Linked DNA regions of Coturnix japonica. The protein of the gene in region 2 interacts with the protein of the main gene of each other region in a pairwise test. Links are inferred from orthologs where the notes say so. Each region holds a gene or a part of one and is shown on either strand. Other genes may lie near its edges.

The links. The genes of interacting proteins can lie anywhere in the genome.
Region 1: the proteins of ABI2 (region 2) and TLE family member 5 interact in binary tests that used the Homo sapiens proteins (3 or more experiments, as listed by UniProt). The link is inferred for Coturnix japonica from reciprocal best matches to the Homo sapiens genes ABI2 and TLE5.
Region 3: the proteins of ABI2 (region 2) and ARMC7 interact in binary tests that used the Homo sapiens proteins (3 or more experiments, as listed by UniProt). The link is inferred for Coturnix japonica from reciprocal best matches to the Homo sapiens genes ABI2 and ARMC7.

Annotation. Positions count from the first base shown.
Region 1 is NC_029543.1:644,224-649,255, reverse strand, and holds the start of TLE family member 5, read left to right. Parts: upstream 1-1,158; 5' UTR 1,159-1,384; coding exon 1,385-1,411; intron 1,412-1,624; coding exon 1,625-1,722; intron 1,723-3,109; coding exon 3,110-3,173; intron 3,174-3,808; coding exon 3,809-3,853; intron 3,854-4,509; coding exon 4,510-4,572; intron 4,573-5,032. UniProt on the Homo sapiens protein: Transcriptional corepressor. Acts as a dominant repressor towards other family members. Inhibits NF-kappa-B-regulated gene expression. May be required for the initiation and maintenance of the differentiated state.
Region 2 is NC_029522.1:11,989,009-11,995,264, forward strand, and holds the start of ABI2 (abl interactor 2), read right to left. Parts: upstream 3,802-6,256; 5' UTR 3,770-3,801; coding exon 3,653-3,769; intron 1-3,652. UniProt on the Homo sapiens protein: Regulator of actin cytoskeleton dynamics underlying cell motility and adhesion. Functions as a component of the WAVE complex, which activates actin nucleating machinery Arp2/3 to drive lamellipodia formation.
Region 3 is NC_029533.1:9,330,689-9,335,471, reverse strand, and holds ARMC7 (armadillo repeat-containing protein 7), read right to left. Parts: upstream 3,418-4,783; 5' UTR 3,295-3,417; coding exon 3,228-3,294; intron 3,150-3,227; coding exon 3,006-3,149; intron 2,545-3,005; coding exon 2,207-2,544; 3' UTR 1,575-2,206; downstream 1-1,574. Other genes in the region: JPT1 (jupiter microtubule associated homolog 1), read left to right, coding at 1-5. UniProt on the Homo sapiens protein: As a component of the minor spliceosome, involved in the splicing of U12-type introns in pre-mRNAs.

The sequences.
Region 1 (5,032 bases), on a different chromosome or scaffold from region 2:
AATGCTTTGCTGTGGGCATTGCAAGTCAAAAACTGAGCCCTGCATTGCAATGGTGGGGTCTGCACTGTGATGGTGAGCCTTGCACTGTGATACTGGGGCATGCAATGTGATGGTGAGCCCCATAATGCAATGGTGAGCCCCATATTGCAATGGTGAGTCCTGTACTGTGATAGTGAGCCCCAAATTGTGATGGTGAGCTCCACACTGCTGGGGTGCTCAGCTCCTGCAGCATCACATCAAGAACCATAAGCAATAGGTGAACAAGGAACGCCAAGGGCAGACGTGTCTGGCCCATCTGGTGGCCTCCATTGATGGCATTGGTGGACAAAGGAAGGGCACAGGCTGCAGTTGTGCAGGGCCTTTGCACGGCCCCACACTGTGCCCATTTCTCTCAATAGGAGAGAGGTGGGTTTGAAGGGTGGGCTGTTTGGTGGGTAAGGAAGTGGTTGGATGGTCATAGCTTGGGATCTGTGGTCGTGGTGGTCCTACAGACCCCCCTGCGCTGCAACTATGGGGGGGCAGAGGGCAGGGAGGGGACTGTCCCGTCTGCTCAGCCCTTGTGGGGACCCACCTGCAGTGATGCATCCAGGTCTGGGATCAGGCTGTGGGATGCTCTGAGCTCTGAGCACCAAAGATCCTCTGCTATGGAAACGTGCTGATGGAGCAGCCATGGAGGCTCCGGGGAGACCTCACTGCAGCCCTCCAGTACTTGGGGAGGGGGCTTACAGGGAGGAGGGGGAGTGACTTTTACCTGCCTGATAGCAATATGGTGATGGGGAGAACTGGATGCCCTTTAAGGCCGACCCCACTCTAAGCCCTTCTCGCACCCACGATGCCCGCAGCAGGTGCGGGGCTCTGGGACACAGCGCAGACCCCAGACCCACGGAGGGTCCCACGGAGCGGGGTCTGAGCGGCACCGGGTCGGGATGGGTGGGCGTGGGGGGGGCAGAGCATCACGGCTGGGGGGGGTAGGAAGGAATTGGGGGGGGGGGGGCAGCTGGGCGCCCCCCCCCCCCCCGATCCCGGGGGGGGGGGGGGGGGGCGAGGGGGGGGGGGGGGGGGGAATTGGGGGGGGGGGGAGCAGCTGAGCGCCCCGCACCGCCCGGATCGCGGCGGGGGCGGAGACGGCCGTGGGCCCGCCCGGCCCGGGGAGGCGGCGGCGGGGCGGCAGGTGGTGCCGAGCAGCCGCAGGACGGAGCGGATCGCAGCCGCCATTAGACAATAGGCGGCGGCTCGGGGCACAGCGGCGCGGGGCGGCCGCGGGGCCGGGCCCGGCGCGGACAAAGGCGGACGGGGAAAGAACGGAACGGAGCGGAGCGGAGCGGAGCGGAGCGGAGCGGGGCGAGGGGACCGCTGCGGGCGGTGGAACGGGCTGCAGCCTGACATGATGTTTCCACAAAGCCGACACTCGGTACGGCGGCACCGGGAGGAGCGAGGAAGGAAGGAAGGAAGGAAGGAGGGAAGGACGGGGGGGAGCACCGAGAGCCGCCCCCTGCCCGCCCGCAGCCACCGGGAACCGGAGCGGGGGGTGCGGGTGACCTTGGGCGGCGGCGGGCTGCGGTGGGGGGGCGGGCAGGGCTGCGGGCCCCCCATTGGGTGTGCAGCGCTGTGTGTGTTGTTCAAGGGCTCCTCTCACCTGCCGCAGCAGCTCAAGTTCACCACCTCCGACTCGTGCGACCGCATCAAGGACGAGTTCCAGCTCCTGCAGGCCCAGTATCACAGGTACGTGCCGGTACCGCCCCCACCGACCGCCCCGAGCATCCCGGGGGGGTCCGCAGTGCGCCCGGAGCTGGGATCCTCCGCTTTGGCATCGCTGCCCTGCACGGACCGGGACGCAGCGTGGCCAAGAGATGGGCTCCGTGCGGCACGACGCGCTGCCCTCCCAGCCCAGCACAGGTTTACCCCCAGGCTCAGCCTCCCCAGGCCGGTATCACCTCCAGGTCCCACCTGGAGGACCGATGTGAGCATCCCAAGGAGGGGGGGGGGACGCCCGGTGTGCACCCATTGCTGCCTTCCTTTCCTTTGGCCACGCAGTTCGGCCCAGAGTTGGCCAAAAGCTGCAATCCAGGCAGGGAACGCTCTGCTCACTGCCCAAAAGGTGGGATTCTGGAAGGAGAAGGAAGGAGAACGCTCTGCCTCCCCCACAGCCAGGTCTTACCCCAATGCAGGACTCCATGCACAGCTCTTCCATCCCTCCATCCATGCACAGCTCTTCCATCCCTCCATCCATGCACAGCTCTTCCATCCCTCCATCCCTGTGCAGCTCTTCCATCCCTCCATCCATGCACAGCTCTTCCATCCCTCCATCCCTGTGCAGCTCTTCCATCCCTCCATCCATGTGCTGCTCTTCCATCCCTCCATCCCTGTGCAGCTCTTCCATCCCTCCATCCCTGTGCAGCTCTTCCATCCCTCCATCCATGTGCTGCTCTTTCATCCCTCCATCCATGTGCAGCTCTTCCATCCCTCCATCCATGTGCAGCTCTTCCAGCCCTCCCTCCTCTCGCTGGGAGTTTTCCTCCCCTCTCCCTGCTGGCTGCCATTCTTGGCTCACAAATGCTGCAGGGAGCACTTAAAGCCAAATGCTTCCGCTTTTCCGCCTGCGGAATGGCTTCTGCTGACCCAAAAGCTGGCTGCCGATGGGCTCTCTTGCTGTTTGCTTCCTAGCTGCACGCATGCACCAAACCATTGCTCCGTGTGTTGCCCTTTCCCTATTGCTCCCACCTCCCCGAGCTCTGCATCGTGCAGCATTGTGGCCCCCCCTTGCAGGACCCGATCTGCTCACAGAGCAGCAGGTTTGGTGGAGGTGAAGCTGTTTCTTGTTTGAAACATAAAACCAGCACATGCTGCTTGCAGCTGCCGGGCTGGGGAGCTGCACAGAGCACAGCGAGCAGCACGTCTGCTCTTAAGGGTGCAAAGAACCCAAAGGAAAGGGGGAAAAGGCATCATTCCAGAGGCCTGCACTGCACCTGGGCTTCCCCAGTATAGGAGGATCTGGTTGCTTTGCTGAGCTGCACTGGGCACACAACAGGCTGGGATGGACCCTGCAGGATGCAACCCAGGATGCAACCCGCTGCCCTGCTGCTTCTCTCACTGCTTTCTGCCTTTGCAGCTTGAAGTTGGAATGCGACAAACTCGCCAGCGAGAAATCGGAGATGCAGCGTCACTACGTCATGGTGAGGAGCTGCCGGGGCAGCGCGTGGGTGGGGAGCAGGTGCTGCTGCTGCTGGGCTCGTGCAAACGGGGCTCCTCGTGCACACAGGGCTCCTCGTGCAAACAAACAGAGCTCCTCGTGCTCTGCACCCTGTGTGTGTGCTGGGTCGGTGGGTGCAGGATGGACATGCAGGGTGTGAGCAGGGAGCTGCTGTCTGTGTGCAGAGCTGCTCTGCTGCTTGAGCAAACTTGGAGTGCTCAGGAATTGACTTCCCGTGCCAATAGCTTGCACTGGAGCTGCCTGTTGTGTGAGGGGGGTGGGTTATTTTGCGTGTGTGTTTCCTGCAGCTCCTTCCCAAGCAGCTGGAGCTGTGTGCAGCTGGAGCACAGGGCTGAGCCCTTCCATTTGCTGCCGGAGCAGCCACGTGGGCGTTAGGAGATGGGCCAGGCACAGCAAACAGAGCCGGGCTGTGCCTGTTCCCAGCAGAGCACTGAGCTCTCCCTGTGATGCCAGGGCTCTGTGAAGGTGCTGAGTGGGCTCTGGGTTAGTTGAGGTCCCACCTGGGCTGGGGGCAGCAGGAAGGTACAGATGTGGGGGTCTCTTTGCATGCTGGAGTCCTCATCGTGTCTGTTTGTTCTCTTCTTCCCCACTCCGCAGTACTACGAGATGTCCTACGGGCTGAATATTGAGATGCACAAACAGGTATTGGGGGGGGTGGGCTGCCTGCTGTGCCTTCTGTCCCTTCAGTGGCATTTCAGGATGTCAAACGTCAGCACTGATTTTGGGATCTCCAGCTCTGGCATTGGGGAGCACCTTCACATTTTTTCCACCCCATGACCTTATAAAAACGTCTTTTCATGCAGGGAGGGGAAAAAAAAATAATCATTGTGGCCATGAGCTGCTTTTCCAAACCCTTCTGGAAGGGGGGACCCGGCTGGGGGTGCTCTGGCTCTGAGCTGGGCTGGGTGCAGTCAGTGCTGGGCACCTCGTGGTGGAGGCTCTGCTGTAGCCTGGCTGAGTCTGCCTGTTCCCCTTGCTGGTGGTTCAGCTGCTCAGGATCTGCAGTGGTTAATTACCTGCTGTTCACAACGTGAGCTCCTTGAGCTCTCGGTCACGGTTATCTGAACGTGTCCCAGCTCAGCTCAAAGCCTCTTAGCGCCGTTCTGCTCCCTTCAAACACACCCAGAGCCTCTGATCCCATCACCTCGGGAGGGAAATCTATTGGCTGAGCTGCAGGACTTGAGCCGTGGCTCCTCACTGCCATCTCCCAGTGTTTGCCTAAACCAGGTGCTGTGGGTCCCCTCACACTATTCCTCTCTGTTGTTTGTTTCTTGGTTTCTTTTTCTTCCCCTCTCCAGGCTGAAATTGTCAAGAGGCTCAATGGGATCTGTGCGCAGGTTCTGCCCTACCTTTCACAGGAGGTAACTGCCAAACCACCCAACTTGGAGGCTCTATAAGCAGCCCTGGGGTGCCCATGCCCTGATTCCTCCCCACCCGTGCCTGCTCCATGCAGGATGAGCCCTTCAGGAGAGGTTGGAGCCCACAGCTCAGCCCCCAGGCCATGCTGGGACTGGTGGGTCAGTCTGTCTGTCTGTCCGTCCCCTTTGTGGGGCAGCTGCAGACAAACTGGACTCTGTTCTCACCCCGCTCCCGTGACTCCCAGCTGCTTCTGGCCGGGTGCAGGCAGTGGTGGATGGCTGAACATTAAAAACTGCCTCCATATGGTTCCTGGAGACCAGGTTCCTCTGCCTCATTAATTAATGTGGCTCATGGGCTCCTCCCACTCCCTTGAGAAATTAATTGGGAGGGCTGTGGGGAGGGAGGGAGCTGCTGGAGCACCCTCAGTATGATGTCTGTCTGTCTGTCTGTCTGTCTGTCTGT
Region 2 (6,256 bases):
TTGACAGTTCGCAGAAGCAGAAGTTTCCTGTTGTAGGACTCAAGCTGTCATAATTACAGAAATTGCAATTTCTATGCCAATGGATGTTCCACTCTCTTCTTCACCTCATTGGAAGATGCTGTCAGAAGTACAATGACTTGGTTTGGCTTAACAGGACAAAGTAAAATTAACAGGCATGCGGAAAGCAACTAAGAAACTGATCAACCCATGGGCTATAATAAAATTACTGAGAAACAGGTAATTCTCACCATTATGTTTATTTAAAAAAAGCTATTGCAGGGTCTGAAAGCAGGTACTTCTAGTACCTAGAAGGATGGAATACTTTCAGAAAAGGAAAAAATATATATATTCTTCCCTGCCTTTCCCTTAGAAATATGGGAAGCTTATTTCTATGTATGAGACTCAATACCCATAGCAACCTGAAGGCTGCAAAGTGATGGAAATGGGAAGTTCGCTCTTCCTCTCCACACAACAAAGCATAATAGTCTAGAAAGACTAAGAAATCCAGATCCTGCTTGAAGAATCTGGCAAACACAGCACACTCACCTTCTGGAGGCTGGACAGGGCACAGGGCCGTGGCTTTTCACCCAGCTCTGCATGCTGCATTGCTCTCTGGCCTTGCCCCCACCCTGAGTCTGGTCCTGCTAGATATCCAGTGGCTGAAAATGTCTATCTAGGAATTCTTTCTGACTCTTTCAAAACAGTGAGTTCAGACACAAGCATTCAATTACTCTTGAAAGTTCTATATGCAATGCATTAAGTAAAAAAATGATTTCGTTTTTAAAAGTTCCAATTGTTTGGAAGCAAGTTAGAGATGAGCCCCAGACAGACTTGTTCAGAACAAGCTTAAAGAAAGTGAAAAGGCCAATGCAGCGCTGGAACTTACAGTGGTGTACCAGTAATAAAACAAGCAAGTCACACCAGTGCTCAAAAGGGTGTTCGTCATTTATATCATCATAACCAGAAACTTTCTTTATCACATTCCTGATCAAAAATAATGCTGGAATATGAAAATCTAGTAAATACAGCGCACTGTCCAATTAAGTAACTCTTGCTTTTCATGGAGATCAATGCAGACCTAAATATGTTTTTATACAGTAACAAGTAAATGAAGCAATCAGATTTTATAGAACTACTTTGTTGCAGTTTAGACTGAGAACTTGGTATCAGAATGCAGCACTAGTACACAAAGGCCTGCAGAAACAGTATACAATTTAACTTCTGATTAACATTGTATCAAATCCCACAAAAATCTCCTCCTAAATAACAGCCTGTATTAGCCCCCTCTTCGGGAAGTACAACAGAGAAGTAACTATGTTTTCTACGGTACTGAGAAGAGCTACCTGGAAAGCAAAGTTATTTGATATTGGCAGTAACAGAAGCTGATCAAACTGTCTTACTTGTGCACTTACACTTAAAACTTTCCAAAAATACATACTAATATTCTTATATAAAGTGAAATAATCACAGAGAAGGAGCTGAACTGTCGTACTATGCAGGTGAAAATCGTTCTTTACATGTTTCTTCTTGCAATATCCAAGCAGTAGCTTTTCATCTTTCATTGCTGCAGTTCTATTTTACTACATATTTCCAATATTTCCCAGTGACTTGTCACAAAATTTTAAGCTGATGTGCTCTGATATGCTGCTATAATACAGACTTCAGAGAACCTTAACAATTCATTTAACATTCTCTGTTGCTGAAGTAACTGAGCTCTGCAAGTATCAAGAACAATTTGTATAATGAACCACCAACATTCAAGGAATGCTTTTCACTTCATAAGTAGAATCCAAATGAGTTGCAAACACCACAGCTCTCTGACTCTGACCTGTCAGTCCCAACATGTAAGAGATTACTGTTCCATTATTCTCCAGCTGCTATGTAACTGTCAATGGAGGCAGAGATAGAACACATTCATCTTATAGCACTGAACTTCAAATTCTTTAAAAAACTGACCAACGCCTCTGCTTTTTGCAACAATTTATGTACCTGACAATAAAATAACCTCTCAGCACCAATTGAGCTTGTCTACTGACAAATACATGCCAGTGTCATTCCTGCAAGCACTGATTGCTGTGCTGCCTATCATTCAGTAGATCAAACTCAGATCTCAGTCATACACTGAGTCCCTGTCAGGAGACCTCAAGAATATCCATGATAAACCCTTCTGTCAGCAACGGAACATTAAAAGATTACAGTAGAACTAGTCGATCTTCTGGAAGATTTTCTGACTTTCTGGAAGATGATTCTCACACGCATTCCCAACGTGCACATCTCCACCAAATCCAAGCTTGCATAAAATATGTAATTTAGACTGAATTGGGTATATTGATTTTTGGAATTACTATTATTGGAAACAAAATCCCCAGTGATGTTAGTTGTATCCATTTCCCTTCCTTGCAGAAGGAAGACAAACAAAATAGCTTTGGGTATTTATCCCAATGAAGAGTTTATGCAGTTCTGGCACGGAGAACGTAGGGTGAGTTCTCCATCAGATTTGTTACAAGGACACTCACGTCACTCAATCCAGCATCTCCTCAAGTTGGACTCCTCTGCAACGTCACCTTGCAGTCTCTCTGCCAACCCCAATAGCCTAAGCCTACCATCATCACCTAGCTATGGTCCTCCGCTCCCCACTTGTTTCACATCTTTATTTTTCCAGTCAGTGATCCCATACTGCACCTCACAGTCAGCACCACAACACAATTTCTGCCTTCTGTTCTCACCTCCCTCTTACATCCCTGTGTTGCCGCGATGCTTGGACAAATTGCCAACAACTGCGGTGTGCTGCACAGCGGCCAGAACCCGGTGGGCTGACCAACCCAGCCTCACTCCCTGCTTTCCCTCACCAGCTGGCTGCCCTCGGCTCAGGCTGCCTTTATATGCCAGCTATGGGAAGACCCCCCTCTTTCCATTCTCTGCATGAAATATCACAGAATCTTGCTCTGCAATTTTTACTGAAACAATAAAAGTGGAGCTGTTCAATACAGATTTTATAATCCTTGGTTTACAAGAAGAGAACAGTAAAAGGTCGTGGGGAGAGCAAAACAACAAGCTAAATGCACCTCTTCCTATCCGGTTCTGCCATTCACAGCTCCTCTTCCAGAAAAAGCCCCATTTCCTTCTTTTTAAAACAGCACAAACATTAATGTCAGTTTATGACTACAACAAAATACTTCAGCGCGTTTCTCTTAAAGAACATAAGTCACGCTAATTCAGCGTATGAAACCTTATTAATCGCATCGCTGTTCGGTAAATGACCCCAGATCCGCAGACATTTCCCACTAGAGGTCGGCTGGTCGCTCAGCATCCCACACAGCGCACCCCCAATGCTTCCCCCTCGTGTCGCCCACCCGGGCACGGCCCGCTCCCCCTGCCATCACACAAGCGCTCTCGGGGACGGAAGGCACAAGCTCCGGGAGCCCTCTCACTGCACTCAGCACCGACACCACGGCGGAACGACCCGCGGCCGTTACTGATGCTGCCGTCCTGTTTTTGTTCCGCCTCACCGAGGAGCACGATGCGGCCCGGGCCCGGCGCAACGCGGAGCGGGGGAGGAAGCGCCGCTGCCGCCGCTCAGCACCGCGCCACGCGGACGGCGACCGCCAGGGCCGACCGCTATGCTCGGCCGTCGGGCCCCGCCCCGCCGCACCTGGATGTAGTTGGTCTCGCAGTACTCGGCCACCCGCTCCAGGTTCGTGTAGCTGTCGAACAGGGCCCGGCGCCCCCCGGGGATCTCCTCCTCCAGCAGCATCTGCAGCTCCGCCATCTTCACATCCTCTCACCCCACGACCGTCCGCTCGTCTGCCCGTCCTCCCTCCTGCACCTCCCTCCCGTCCTCCCTCCGCTCCGCTCCCTCTCTCCGCTCCCCGCCGCCAGGCCCGGCCTCGCGCCGCGGGCAGGAGCGCGCCGGACCCCCACCGCACCGGGGGCGGGGCGCGGCCGGCGGCTCCTCCTGCGCATGTCCCAGCAGCCCTAATCATGGCCCCGTGCGCCCACTGCCGGCACGGAGGAGCTGGGACGGGGCTGCGGGACATGAATGGAGCCGGAGCTGGAGCAGGAGCCGGAGCGACCCCCTGACCCTGCAGTGGCCCCTTCCAGTGACTTGGAGCATATGAGAAAAGGCCTCGTCTTTACTATGTGTGTGCGCAGCTGACCAGCTGGACTAACCTGCCTGCATCATTAGCTGCTTGTTATCACAGCATGTTTATGTTTTAATAGGGGACTCTTTCATGGATTTAAATTTAAAGATGAAGAGCCCTCCTGGCAGAGTGATGGTTATCCTATAATTCTCTGTACGCGTGCTGAAAATGATTAGAAGCAGTGTTTAAATTAGACCAAGTGAATCCAACTACCACTTTCCTACATTTACATAATCGACTCCCCATCTGCCAAGCGATGTGCTAAACTAATTTTAAGTCCTTATGCTCTCTGAGCCCCAGTTACAGCATTCCACACATTAACTTCTCCTTCTTTCTTTTGTGCAGTACCTTCCCTTGGTACAACAGCTTCAAGACTGGGAAGCAAATGTATTTCCCACCTAAATATACTGAGAAAACAATATCCCTAGGAACAAGCAAGGTAAGCATGTCGCTTACTCCAAGTTCCCTCACACGCATCAGATTTTTACCTCTGCCCATTACCCAAGGGAGTCCCTGCGCACAAAAACGCCCAGACAAGCAAATCATTTGGTCACGTGCAATCTCGTAGCTGGGCACTCTGTGTGTCCTACATACCACAGTCTGAATTACCAATTCTTAATTAGAGAAAAGTAATAACGGGGTAGCTTGGAGGCCACTGTTTTTGGCACCATGGGTAGGCATTGCAATCAAAAGCCTCTTCTGTTTTCTTTGCTATATGGAAGACAGAACGGCACAATCCCTGATCCCATTTGGACAGATGACCTGGTTGGATCTCTGACACACCATGCTGCAGGTTTTCACTTAATTTGTGTAAGGATCTCTGTTCTGGCTTTATGACATTCTCATTTCTGAACATTTTTTCCCTCACAAAAAAAACAAAAAACAAAAAACAACCCAAATTCCATGTTTTGTATACAGCAGAAACAAAACCCCCACTGTATCACATTGAGCCAAGCAGATCTGCGTCTGCACAATGGGCAAAGCACTTTGACAGCAAACATGGGCATGTGAACTGACCATAATACAAACAGGCCCATGCCCTAAAGCTGGCAGGTAGCATTTACTGCAGGAATGGGGAAAGAGGAAAAAATGGGGGAATGAAAAAAAATTATCTGTAGCTGAAATATATACTTTTGCTCCCTCAACAAAGACAGAGTTGTGCCATCCTGGTCTGTTTAGATAGCGTTGATCTGCCTCTGGCTGGATGCAGACCTTTGCTAGCCTCATAATGCAAAGCACCCAAAGGGAACAGCAGCACATTTAACACTCGAGGCTCTGCCACAATCTCAGGATGGCCTGCTACAGAATGAGGCTCATACACATCCAGTGCCCACAACAAACGCTGTCAGGATCCTGTGGCATCTTGGGCACTCAGCCGCCAGCCCCTGCTGTGAAACAGTGAAGAACCCACACACTCTGCAGCTGCACATTCTCCTCCTGCTTCCGCAGGCATTCACCAATTTGCTGGGCAATCAAGATCGTAACCACAGATAATCTTTCTGCTCATGATAAACTGCTGCTGGGTAAAATACCGACTGTACACAGGACACAAGTTACCTGTGGGGTAGTTCACATCTCATGGAAGTGCTTGCACTAACACCACTAGTTCAGAAACAGGCAGAGGCAGTGCATGACTGACATCCATCACCTCACAGCACCTCCGGAGAGGCACAGGACACACTGCAGACATTCCGTCTTTCTGTTCTCGGCCGTGTCTCATTCTAAATATCAAGCCTTTTTTTTCTAGGAATTCAAGTTCTCTCTTGAACGTTATTTCAGCATAGCATTGTGTGAGAAGGATGGAGCCAGTACATGCGGAGAATCTCTCTAAGGGAGGGAGAGGTCAAGTTAAAGAGGAAAAATAATGATCTCTTCCTAACATTTCAGCTTTAAAAGAACACAGGCAACAAATGGTCTCAAAGACAAACCAGCACAAAGCACAGCTGATCATCAGGTTCCCTTCCGAGGTTCAAAGAACAAAGCATTCAGAGAAGGAGGGGGAAGTTAAAAAATGTGCCAATTTGTTTTTCTTTTCTGCCAGTTTTCCTTCTCAAAGATACCAACCCAATTTTCAGTCCCTTTCCATCCTGACCCCCAGTGGCATCTCCCAGGTC
Region 3 (4,783 bases), on a different chromosome or scaffold from region 2:
GTTAAACCTTTCCTTTCCTTTCCTGACTGTTTTGAACTTGTGTCTGTTTCTTGCCCTTCTCCCCCCCCATGCTCGTGAGCCTGACTGTACATCTCGAATTTCTTTCAATTAAAAAGAAGCACTTTATGTACTCCATCTTTTTTTTTTTTTTTTTTTCCCCTGTCTTTTGAGATCAAGGTTTTTTCCCACTTTTGTCCTGTGTTTTTCCCCTAGATCTGCTGGAAGTTACATGAGTGTTTTCTAGTGATAGACTTGAGGGAAAGCTTTATGAAGTATAGTAATGTAATTGAAAGGAGAGTAGATTGGTCCTAAGTGTGCTTAGAGGGTTTCTGTCCTGAGGTTTGTAGAACCCCTTCGCTGTACGAGGGTCGAGAGACGTGGTTAAAGAGGCCAGCAAACGATCAGCAAGAGCCATCCCTTCTTCCACATGTGAACTGTGGGGATCCAAAGGAACTCCTTGTCTGTGTGGGGTGAATGCCTTGAGCCCTGCTGTGCCATTTGAAGTGGTTAGTGTACACCATGCTGCCTTTACAATACATTGATACTGGACCATTTTAAGCAGGGTATGTGCCAAATAGTGGCTGATGAGCAGCGTCACCTGGCCTGAGGCTGGGAGGGCATTGACTGGGCTTTGTTCGGTGAAGGTGGAGTGGATCGTAGAAATAAAGAACAAATTCCGGGGCGGTTTTTTCTTTTTTTTAGAACTGATTCAATGCTGTGCATGATCATGCTGGTGCTTGACCATGGGGTGAAAGCCTCATCCTTAAAAGTGTGTGTTGTAATTTCACGAAGCTGGACTGTTGCTTACAGTAAATAATATAGACATTTTGAAGCAATGTTTCCTGCGTGGGTTTTATTTGTGGGTCTGGTTCTGCACTGCTCTCAGTTGTCCTGCACTAATGGAGAGGGCTGGGATGGAGCGGAACAGGAGCGTGAGTGCAGCTGATGGGGCACCACCACGTGCTGCCTCCGTGTGAAGTGTCCAACATCTGCTTTATGAAAGAAGCGAGCAGCGGAGCAGGCTACAGCTCCTAAACACTGAGTGCAGTTGGAGCGCGCCCAGCCGTCCGATGAAGGTTCCCGCAGCGCACAGCGGAGCCGCCTGGCCCCGCACTAAGGCCAGGCCGGCAGTTCCACCCGCTTGTGGCCGGAGGTTCCACTCGGGGCCGTGGTGCCGCCAGGGGCCGCTCGGCTTCATGCGGGGGTTGCGGGGTTCACCTCACGGTGCCTCGTCCTGGTGCGGCCGGAGCCGCAGTGATGTTATGAAGAATAACTATAAAGACAAACAGCCAGCTGTGGTGTAAGCTCACTATGGCGTGTTTTGAGCTGAGTGGAGGGGGAGAAAGCAGAACTCTGGAACTCGCAGCCTTTCAGAAGCACCGTGGTAAAGGGCCACCCCGTTCTATGCCTTTGGGCAGTTTGCCGCCCTGGCTCCAGGTTACCTTTTGCACGATTGGCTGATCATAAAAGGAGAGCAAAGTGGCTCCAACTCCCAGCCCACGTGCATTAGTGGGAGCAGCAGAGGCTGCGCTGCAAGAGCTGTACAGGAACATTTACGAGCTTACACAGAACTGTTTACACAACAGCTCCGTTAATGTTTTATTAAGAAAAGGCTTTTCTTGTGAACCTGAATGCCATAAACCCTTTTCCTACCTGCACCTTTCTCACCAGTGGTAATGAGGGAAATACAGCTTTCTGCTTCCTGACCTATGGGATAGCTATCACCTGTTCTAGGGCAGGATGATAAGACAGTATGTATAGTACCAAAGGTATGTAATAGGATTGCAAATTACCAGGGCAGGGAAACGCATTTCTTCTGCAGGAGGGATGAAGTTTGGGTCATTTCAAAGTCATCTGAGTTGACACTGGAAAGCTGTGGCAAAATCAGCCAGGAACTGGAAGTGATACAAGCTGAACAATAACCCGAGCAGAGAAAGTAACTGCTATAAGGGTTATACCTGTAAGCTGGTTCAGAGCTGCACAGCAGCCATCACCTTTTTTATTTAAAATATTTGCTTCCATTTTCAGCCACGTTCTTGGCCTGTTATAGTGCTGTATGGTCCTTTTCAATACTAACTAAAATCCAATGCTAGTCTGATTTCCTGCTTTACTGTTCTCATCACACTCTTGACCTACTCAGCATTAGGTGCAGACCTGAGCAAACAGGGGGTGCTCCTCGCAGCAGCTCCAAGCTGCTCTGACAGCTTCAATCCTTCGGGAGAGGAATCCCCACCGCTGTGTGTTTGCTCAGGTTCCTGGCCTCTTCCACCTGCAGGGGCGTGCAATAATCCTCCAGGAAGATCGTGGCCAGATTGCTCAGCCTTCTGCTGGCCGACAGGGAGAAGCGAAGCATGCATTCCACCACCGGGAGAGCTGTGGTCTGCTGGCACGACTGCGGCGTTGTCAGATACATCAGGGCTGTGACTGCTGACATGACTGTCTCTTCGTTGGAGCTGGAGAGGCAGTTTATTATGGGCTCTACCCCATTGGCCTCCAGGATATAGTCTTTGTTAGTTTTATCCAAGCACAGGTTGCAAAGACCACCTGAAATAGCGAAAAAAGCATCTGACACATGCAAGACAGATTCTTTCTGCAGCCTCATCCGGACACACTCCATGCTCTGAAGGGCACCTCATCTGGGAATGAATGGCAGCAGCTGGAGCACGTTCCGTCTGTTGGTACCAGCAGTTGGGCCCTGACCTGTGTGGTGCCGGCACTGAGTTGTCCGCAGACGGACACTCCATCTTTACTACTTTTCTTAAGGCAACATGCACAGACAGTTTCCCTGTGTGGTAAGGGGGCAATCGGTCTTCAAGGTACCAGGAATTAAATGATGGGTTTTTAATTGCCCTACGTTGCCTTTTATTTTCTCCTGTCCATCTCAGTGCAGTGATGGCATTTATGGCGCCGTGTGGCTGCAGCGTTTATTTTCATTTTCCCCGGTTTGTTACCTGTGTTTTAGAGAAACAGGGAAAGCATCGGGGCGCACCCAGCGCTGTGCTCACCCATAGCGAATTCCACCAGGGTCTCGTCGTCCTCCGTCAGCATGTCGAGGAACAGGTCCAGCACCTGGAGCTGCCGCAGATACTCGTAGTTCTTGGGGTCGTAGGCGAAGTTGGCCAGGTTGGCCAGCACCTGCCGCCTGGCCTCTGCCGGGGAAGCAACGCGTCAAACGGGGCAAGGGGGGCTGTGGTAGATGGAGATTTCGCTTTTGTACGCGGGGTTACCTGGGCTGTCTGTCACCTGGAACTCCGTGACGAGGGCCTGCAGGTACTCCAACCTGCCCAGCTCCATCCCGAGCTGAGAACCAGAACCAGCCGATCAGCTGGACCGCGCCGCCGGCACGGGGCACAACGGGGCGCTCCGGACACCGGCGGCCGCCATGTTGTGGGCGTTACTCCCCGGCCGCCATGTTGTGGGCGGTGCGGCTGCTGGCTGCGCTCCGCGTGCGGGGCGGGCTGTGGGCAGCTCATGTGCGTCAATAAGTGAAGGCACATATCACTGCTGCACTCTGTATCTGGCAAACACGTGTTTTTATCGTTTCCCCCCTTTGTTCTGCACAGTTCTTCACCTTTCCCTGCCACCTGGTTGCTTGCCCCCCAGGCCTCAGAATTTACACCCCCGCGTGTGCTTCTCGTGCCTGTAACTGTGTTAGTGCACTTGAAGCGACATCTGTCATTACTAATATGGACCAGAGCGGGGCTGGTGTGAGAAGGGCAGAGAAGAGAAAGCAAACAAGGAGAAGCAAACCGACAGAAGTGTTTGAGGACAGTGGGACTGAGCAATAAGGGGAGGAGCGCGTTGCATTGGAGGAGGAAAATGCAGCGCTGAGTTCCCAGGTACCGTGTGTGTGTGTGGGCAGTCAGTAGGATTTTGCAAGCACAAAACCAATGGGAACTTTGTCCCCTGCAGTGATTTCACTGCGAGCAGCGTTTAGGAACAGCCCGTGCTGGTCGGGTGGTGCATCCCCGAGAGCTGCACCCTGCGGGTCACACTGCAGCGCTGCTGCTCACCTCACTGCGAGCTGCGTGCTCTGCTGCTTCTAGATTCTATCTTGTTTTGAGTCTAATCCAGGCTGGTTAACGGATGTGAGGAACATTGTGCATTTAATTTGAGCTGTCCCATAGAGTTTGGTAACATTCCCAGGTCTGTGGTCTGCAGAGATGTTCTGTAAGGGCTGCAGGCTGTGCTCGTGCTGCTTACATGACTGAGTGCATCTGATCATCACCGTGTGCTGCAATGCTGCAGGAAGTTTTCCTGGTCGTACACAACCATCTCTTGGCAGCAGTGCTGGCTCAGGCTGTTTGTGCGGGTGATGTGGGCCATATTTTGTCCATGTTGCACAGGCTGCCTGAGCATAGCTGTGGTATTAACAGCCTTAGGGGTAGTCTAATGACAGTGGTGCCCATTGATATCTCAACAGAGTTAGAATTTGGTCAATTTCAGGTTCTGGTGGGTGTGTTTCTTTTCTTGCAGTTACTGACTGGGTCTGCAAATTTTGCCAAACTCTTCATTTGAGTGATTTTGCAGTTCTGAGGTGTTTTAGAGTACGTAAGTTTGCCGTGACCTTTTGGGTTTGTTTGTTGTTTGTTTTGTTTTTAATTAAAGTTTTCCAAGATTTACCCTGGCAGACTATCTGAGTCTTATAAGGTTCACAGTTTTGCAATATTTCAAATGAACTTCCTGGTGAATGTTTCATAGCAGTAGGAAAAGGTGCTTGTTGCAAAATATGTTTAGCTCGCAAAGTTAACGATACATTTAATGACAGAGGGAGCAGGAAAGA